2 linked regions of the Canis lupus familiaris genome follow. Each later gene encodes a partner of the first gene's protein in a complex. Links are inferred from orthologs where the notes say so. Each region holds a gene or a part of one and is shown in the gene's direction. Other genes may lie near its edges.

What was found. The genes of interacting proteins can lie anywhere in the genome.
Region 2: the proteins of RAB7A (region 1) and RILP are in contact, whole or in part, in a crystal structure (PDB 1YHN), measured with the Homo sapiens proteins. The link is inferred for Canis lupus familiaris from reciprocal best matches to the Homo sapiens genes RAB7A and RILP. Residues at the interface, in NP_004628.4 of Homo sapiens: Ser3, Lys6, Leu8, Ile41, Gly42, Ala43, Asp44, Phe45, Leu46, Thr47, Thr58, Trp62, Ser72, Leu73, Val75, Leu182, Tyr183, Asn184, Glu185; in NP_113618.2 of Homo sapiens: Phe248, Glu249, Leu252, Gln253, Arg255, Asn256, Lys259, Ala260, Phe263, Leu264, Glu267, Glu268, Tyr271, Arg274, Glu275.

The regions. Positions count from the first base shown.
Region 1 is NC_049241.1:2,782,136-2,785,879, forward strand, and holds the start of RAB7A (ras-related protein Rab-7a), read left to right. Parts: upstream 1-1,177; 5' UTR 1,178-1,186; coding exon 1,187-1,239; intron 1,240-2,925; coding exon 2,926-3,052; intron 3,053-3,744.
Region 2 is NC_049230.1:45,740,762-45,744,505, reverse strand, and holds the start of RILP (rab-interacting lysosomal protein), read left to right. Parts: upstream 1-1,185; 5' UTR 1,186-1,456; coding exon 1,457-1,684; intron 1,685-1,758; coding exon 1,759-1,852; intron 1,853-1,935; coding exon 1,936-2,042; intron 2,043-2,142; coding exon 2,143-2,376; intron 2,377-2,850; coding exon 2,851-2,996; intron 2,997-3,367; coding exon 3,368-3,490; intron 3,491-3,744. Other genes in the region: PRPF8 (pre-mRNA-processing-splicing factor 8), read left to right, coding at 115-269. UniProt on the Homo sapiens protein: Rab effector playing a role in late endocytic transport to degradative compartments. Involved in the regulation of lysosomal morphology and distribution.

The DNA.
Region 1 (3,744 bases):
GATAATTAAGACAGGAACCCTGCCTTAGTAAGTAAATAGGGGCAGATTTCTGGAATAGAGATAAGCAAAAATGAGGCATCTTACATATTGTCTAGCCAGGCTGCCTGAAAGGTTCTTTCTTTTCTTTTCTTTTCTTTTCTTTTCTTTTCTTTTCTTTTCTTTTCTTTTCTTTCTTTCTTTCTTTTTTTTTTGATTTTTTTTTATTTATTCATGAGAGGCACACACAGAGAGCGAGGCAGAAACACAGGCAGAGGGAGAAGCAAGCTCCATGCAGAGAGCCCAATGTGGGACTCGATCCCCCATCTCCAGGATCAGGCCCCGGGCTGAAGGCAGCCCTAAACCACTGAGCCACCTGGGCTGCCCTGAAAGGTTTTCTAGAAAAGGGTGATCTCAAGAGCTGCAGGTCAACAAGTATTGTTCTCACACCAACCCCAATTTTTTTTTAATTTTTTTTTTTTTTTTTTTTTTTATGATAGAGAGAGAGAGAGAGGCAGAGACACAGGCAGAGGGAGAAGCAGGCTCCATGCACCGGGAGCCCGATGTGGGATTCGATCCCGGGTCTCCAGGATCGTGCCCTGGGCCAAAGGCAGGCGCCAAACCGCTGTGCCCCCAGGGATCCCCCAACCCCAATATTTGATAATTGTTCTCTACTTGGCACTGGAGATGCAGTGGGGAATAAAACTGTCTTGGTGGAAGTTGTTGGAGAAGGGAGAAAACAAATTAATAGATTTGGATGTCAAGTAGTGGTAAGTGCTCTGAAGAAAAAAAGTAAGGCAATGTAAAGGGTTAGAGAGCAGATGGGGAGAGGGTGTGCCACTTTAGATAAAGTGATCATGTCTCTGAGGAAGTGCTATGTGAGCAGAGACTTGAATGAAGCAGGGCCTAGTTGTTAAATTGAACATTAATCCACAGTGATCCAGCAACATCTGAGAGGGAGAATCCATCCTTTTAGACTGCTCCAAGGGGCAGGATGACCCTGCCTCTCATGATTTTGCCCAGCTTGTGTCCAAAGTTCTAAGATTGATTCTGCTTTCTGTCTGGTCCCCCTGGGTGGCAGGGAAATAGCTAAATGGGAAGGCTTAGTGCTCCTGGGGCTGTGTTGATGCTTGTACAGAGGGATGAGGTTTGCCTGGGTATTTCTGTCACGCTCACAAGTACTTTCTCCTTTCTCCTTTTAGTTTGAAGGATGACCTCTAGGAAGAAAGTGTTGCTGAAGGTTATCATCCTGGGAGATTCTGGGTAAGTTTGAAGTAACAGATTGGTTTGGATTAAATGTGACTTTGAAGCCATGCCCTCCCTGCTCACATTTGCCACTTCTCTAATAGTAGTGGCAGTAGGGTTCTAGGTCTCTTGCCATTTCCAGCACAGCAGATTTTTTTTTTTTAAGCACAGCAGAAATTTTAATGATCTCTTAGTCTGTAATCCTTGGTTCCCTGGTCTTTGGCATGATTTAGGGGAAGGAGTAGCCATTTAAACTCAAGAACGGTTTCACTGGAATCTCTTTTTTCTGAGCTGATTAGACAAGGGAGTTCTGTTCATGTGTAGATTTGTTGCCACTGACCTCATGCCTACCAGTTGTGGGTTTGGAGTCTGGATACAGCTGTGCAGTATCTTCCCACTACTGGGTCTGATTTGGGGTGTATCTGAAAGAACCTGCGACTGGAAAACTGGGTTCTGATCCTAGATCTGCCACTAATTAAGTGACTAACTCTTCAGTAGCTGTTAACGATTCTGTGGGAGGCTTTTCAGACTCAGCATCTGATGTGACCTGGAAACCTTAGACCAACTAGAAGCTATGTATTTTTTTTAAATGATGATGATGATGATGATGATGATGATGATAAATCCAGGTGTGCCTCCTTACACGAAAGTTCCCTGCCCTTTAAGAAGGCAGTGATTTTTCTACCCTGTCTGGCTTTTCTGATTGCCCTGAGGAGCTTTTCAAAAGTAAGCATTTTTCCAGACCATTGTGTTGGGCCTCATTGGCAGTACTTAAATACATATATCTCTCTGTCTCCCTCCTCCCTCCTTCCTGGTGACCACTGTGCTGTCAGGAATGAAAGGTACTGTTTTAGGCCCAAACTTGCATGGGAAAAATCACCGGGCCTTTATTTGATTAGAGACCTCCTGACCTCTCCCCTGAAAATTCAGACCCAGGTGACCTGGATTGGAGAACACTGCCTTAAGCCATAACTTACTTCCAGGTCCTCTGCCTATGAAGATGAATATGTTCCTTAGAGGGAAAGGAAGGTGATCCTGTTGACTTGGAAGAAGACTTTTATGTTATCTTCAGCCTGCCCTAACTAATCTCATCACCAAAAAAAATCCACACATTGTCTCTTACTGAGTTTTCTTACTGAAAAACTTCCCTGGAGGAGCTTACTCTGAGGTAGATTCTGATTTGGTGGGAATATTGATGCTTTCCTCACTTCAGATTTTAATCTTTGAAGTAGCAGGTGGCTGACTGGCATATATGTCTGCTCATAGCCAGTGACTTTCTCCTGCTATTACTTTCTTGGACTGAATATCAGCCCCTAAATGGAGAGACACCCAGGACAGCAGAGATATTTTTAGAATGGTGGCAGGATCTTATTGCTGTAGCTTCTTTTAGAAAGAGAGTATTTGCTGACATCTTTCTGGAAGGAAAAAAATAATACTAAGTTCTACCATCTGAGTTACTTGTACCAAAACTTAAGAGCAGCTTTTCAACATCTGATCCACATCTATAGCCCTGTACTTTTGTTCCAGGAGAAAATAAAACCTCGAATGAGTAACACTGAGCAGTTTGCTGGCACTATCCTCTGTTGTGATTACAGTTGCTTGTTATCCTTTAAGCTGGCAAGTATCTTCAGAGCTGCAAATATCAGAATCATTTTTCTGCCCCTTCTAACTTGACCTATACTTGTGGTTTTTCTCCAATTTCAGAGTTGGTAAGACATCACTCATGAACCAGTATGTGAACAAGAAATTCAGTAATCAGTACAAAGCTACAATAGGAGCAGACTTTCTGACAAAGGAGGTGATGGTGGATGACAGACTAGTTACAATGCAGGTAAGCACACATCTCAACTTTGTCACCCAAGCCTTGTTCATTCAGTCTGAACTCTTTTGTTCATGCCTAGGCATTTTCCCACCCCATTCCTCATTTCCCACTACTATATTCATGGATAATTGGTCGCAGGTAGGATGGCCAGATACAAATACAGGACATCAGGTATGACCCAGGCATTGCATGAGACATACTAGAAATTTTTCATTGGTTTTCCAAAGTTCAAATTTAATTGGAGTTCCTGGTTTTTTGTTGGTTTGGTTTGTGTTTTTTGTTTTTGCTGAATTTGATAACATACAGGCCCAAACTTTTGTCTCCAAAATGTTTAACTCATTCCTTTCTCTTAATATCCCCACATGGGGGACGCCTGGGTGGCTCAGCAGTTGAGCGTCTGACTTTGGCTCAGAGCATGATCCCGGGGTCTGGGATCAAGTCTCGAATCAGGCTCCCCTTGGGGAGCCTGCCTCTCTCTCTGTCTGTGTCTCTGGGTGCTCCCCCCCCCGCCCATGTCTCATGAATAAAGAAATAAAATCTTAAAAACAAAAATCGCCACATAGTATTTTAGGTCAGAATATCTTTGGGTCTCTCCTAGATTCTTATAGTAGCTGTTAATGTAGTTTCCCTGTTTTTCTGACTTTTAATCTGTCCTATCTATAGCCACCAACTTTGTATTTCTGTTAAGTTAGCCTGGCTTT
Region 2 (3,744 bases), on another chromosome or scaffold:
TGGGGTTAGGCCATCACCCTTGGCACTTGGGCCTTGGTTCCAAGATGGCCCAAGGGCCCAGGCTGGGTGAGGCAGGTGCATCTGCTTAACACTGGCCCTTTCTTCTAACCCTAGGTGTCCGGCATGATCCCAACATGAAGTATGAGCTGCAGCTGGCAAATCCTAAAGAGTTCTACCACGAGGTGCACAGACCTTCCCACTTCCTCAACTTCGCTCTCTTGCAAGAGGGTGAGGTCTACTCTGCGGACCGAGAAGACCTCTATGCCTAGTTGTTTCCTCACCTCCCCCTTCTTCACACTCCCCAAGACTGGAGCCTTTTACAAAACCCCAAAAAGAAGCTGGTGACATTCAGCAGCTTGGTTCCTTTTCTCCCTGTTTGTGCTTCTTGTAATTGATCTCTCGTGGCATGTAGTCCTGAGCAAAATGTAATAATAAATTTTGTATAAATAGGAGTTTTTGAGGTTGTTTTTTTCCTCCTGAGCTCAAATTCTGGGTGTAGGGATGGCAGGAGGCTGGCCTTGTTCACAGCAAGATGCTGGCCTTGGTCTTTTTTAAAAAAAAATTTATTTTTTATTTTTTTTTATTCATGAGCAATAGAGAGAGACACAGGCAGAGGGAGAGGCAGGCTCCATGCAGGAAGCCTGACATGGGACTCGATCCCAGGTCTTGAGGATCACACCCTGGGCTGCAGGCAGCCGTGTTAAACCCCTGTGCCACCGAGGCTGTGGCCTCGGTCTTAAAGTGGCATGAGGCCCCTCCCTACTCGGGGGCTGTGGATCAAGAAACTTGTAGATTCAAGGAATAGAGGTGGGGTTGGGTTTTAACACCCTTACTGCCTTGACCACGTCTGCCTACTTCCCTTAAAAATATTTGCAAACTATCACTCTTTTCAGCCTCCTTTGGAGCAGTTGCTGCCATTTTCTGAGTCTAGAAGCTTGTGAATTTTTCCCGACAGCTGTGGTGCCCAGCATAGCCCCTTAGGCTTTGTGTCACTGGTGGTTGGGAAAACAGGCACTTGGCTGGACAGATGGCTGTCCCTGGCAGAGGCCTGACAGCCCTCCTACCTCTCACCTCTTGCCTGTGGTGTTTGGCAGCCAAGTTGGGCCTCATGACTCCAGAGACAGGGGTGGAGCCTGGATTGCGCGCTGTGGGGAGGGATTGACAAAAGTGACCACTTAGAGCCGTGAACCTCAACCTCTTGGACGCCTGGCTGGAAGTCGGCAGCCTTGCTTCCTGTGACCTTGGGGCTCAAACAGGACAGAGCCCAGGGGGCCCAGTGCACAACCGCCTTCAAGCCTTTACCTTTTTTCTTCATTGCTCCTCCTCTGTCGCTTCTTCCCCGCCCCCCACTGCCCGAAACTGCTTCCTGGGCCGGAACTGTTTGGCTTTTTCCTGCCCCAATTAGGGCTGTGGGTGGGGGTAGGGAGGTTGGCGTGGCCTTTAACTTTCTGGGGACATGGAGCCCAGGAAGGCGGTACCTGGGGTGCACAGCTGCGGGCCTCGGGTGGCCGCGGGGTCAGGGACGGCGGCGGAGCTCGTGTACCATCTAGCGGGGGCCCTGGGCACGGAGCTGAAGGAGCTGGCGCGCCGCTTCGGGCCGGAGGCGGCGGCCGGGCTGGTGCCGCTGGTGGTGCGGGCGCTGGAGCTCCTGGAAAAGGCCGCCGTAGGGCCGGACCCAGACTCAGTGAGTCGCCGCCCTTTCCCCTGGCCACCCGCAGGGCTGGCGGGAGCCTCGCCCTCACAGCCTGGACTCCCCAGCTGCAGGTGTCAGCGCAGCAGGCCGAAGTGGAGCTGCGGCGGCTGCGGGAGGAGAACGAGCGCCTCCGCAGAGAGCTGCGCTCCGGCCCACAGGGTGAGTGCGGGCACCGCCAGGGGGCGGGGCGGGCGGCTCCGGGCCTCCTCCCCAGGCCGCTGCTAAGAACGCCCCTTCCTCAGAGGAGCGGGCTCTCCTGAGGCAGCTCAAGGAGGTGACCGACCGCCAGCGGGACGAGCTCCGGGCGCACAACCGAGATCTGCTCCAACGCAGCCAGGAGACCGAGGCGGTGAGGGCGGGGCGGGGCGGGGCGGGGCGATGGGCGTGAGCGGGGCTCTCCACCCGGCCCACCGACGCCCCGCCTACCTCCTCTTTGACTCCGCCCCCAGCTGCAGGAGCAGCTGCAGCGCCTCCTGCTGGTGAACGCGGAGCTGCGCCACAAGCTGGCAGCGGTGCAGACCCAGCTGCGCTCCGCGAGGGACCGCGAGGGAGAGCGGGAGCTACCGCACCAGGGGGCGGTGGAGCCGGCGCGGGACCGTGCCGGGGGGGCCGGGGACGCACAGAGGCGGAGGTCCGAGCGGGCAACCGCCGACGCTGGAGCTCCGGGGACCCCTGAGGACCAGGTGAGTGCCCATGGCAGTCCTCACAGGTCTGGCACTTGGGCACTCGGGCTGGGTTTGTCGTCCTGCCTAGCGGGTCCATCAGGAAGTTGGTAGGTGGGGGATCCCTGGGTGGCTCAGCGGTTTAGCGCCTGCCTTTGGCCCAGGGCGCGATCCTGGAGTCCCGGGATCGAGTCCCACGTCGGGCTCCCGGCATGGAGCCTGCTTCTCCCTCCTCCTGTGTCTCTATCATAATATCATAAATAAATAAATCTTAAAAAAAAAAAAAAAAGAAGTTGGTAGGTGGCACACGAGTGCGCGTCTCCAGCCGGTCCCTGCTCCCACGCTGGCCAGAGCACCGGGCTGTCGTCATCTGTCGCAGCTCCCTTACCTCCCCAAGTCTCCCGGCCAGTCGCTCCCTCTAGCATTCCTGTGATGGCCCGGGGAAAGGGGGGCGCCGGCAGAGGCACCCCTCTGACCCAGCCTGTCCCTCTGCAGGCGGCTGCCCTGCAGCAGCCAGGGCGCCCTTCCGAGGCAGGACAGTGCAGCTTCAGTCGAGAGGAGCTCGAGCAGATCCTTCAGGAGCGGAATGAGCTCAAAGCCAACGTGTTCCTGCTGAAGGAGGAGTTGGCCTACTTCCAGCGGTGAGGGCGGTAGGCAGGGGCTGGGAAGCTCAGGGGCTCCACTCACACTTGTCCTGGGCCTCACATCACCAGCTCCGTTCCTTAGTTCACTGATCTACCCATCATGATATATGGCAGGTGCTGTGCTGGACACTGGGAAGACATGAGTCACACAGCCCCTGCCTTCCTGGAACTTCTTCCAAATGGGGTAGGAGGTAGTAAAAAACACAGCAGCTGTGAAAGATTCCTAGGGGCATCACCTAAGCTAAGTCTGAGGGATGTCAGCAAGGCAGAACATTTCAGAAAAGGAGAATGTCAGGCACAGGTACTTGGGATGAAACCTACTGCTGGCATTCCTGCTGCTTACTCTGCCTCTTTTCCTCCTCGGGTAGGGAGCTACTCACAGATCACCGGGTCCCTGGGCTTCTCCTTGAAGCCATGAAGGTGGCTGTCAAGAAGCAGCGGAAGAAGATCAAGGCCAAGATGTTAGGGATCCCAGAGGAAGCAGAGAGCAGGTAAGTCCCTGCCTCCATTCCCACTGAGCCAACCCCTTCTCACTCTTTCCGCTGAGCCTAATGCTTCAGCCTGGTCATGCTCTAACCCATCTTAATCACCCCTTGGGCCTACCACCTTAGCTTCATAAATTCCTGAGCCTGTCACCTAGCCTAGTCCCTTCTTAAACCTGCTTACCTGGCCTGGTCACCCCTGCACCTGCTGTCCAGCCTGTCCTGCTGAGCCTACCACTCTGGCCTGGTCACTCCCTGAGCCT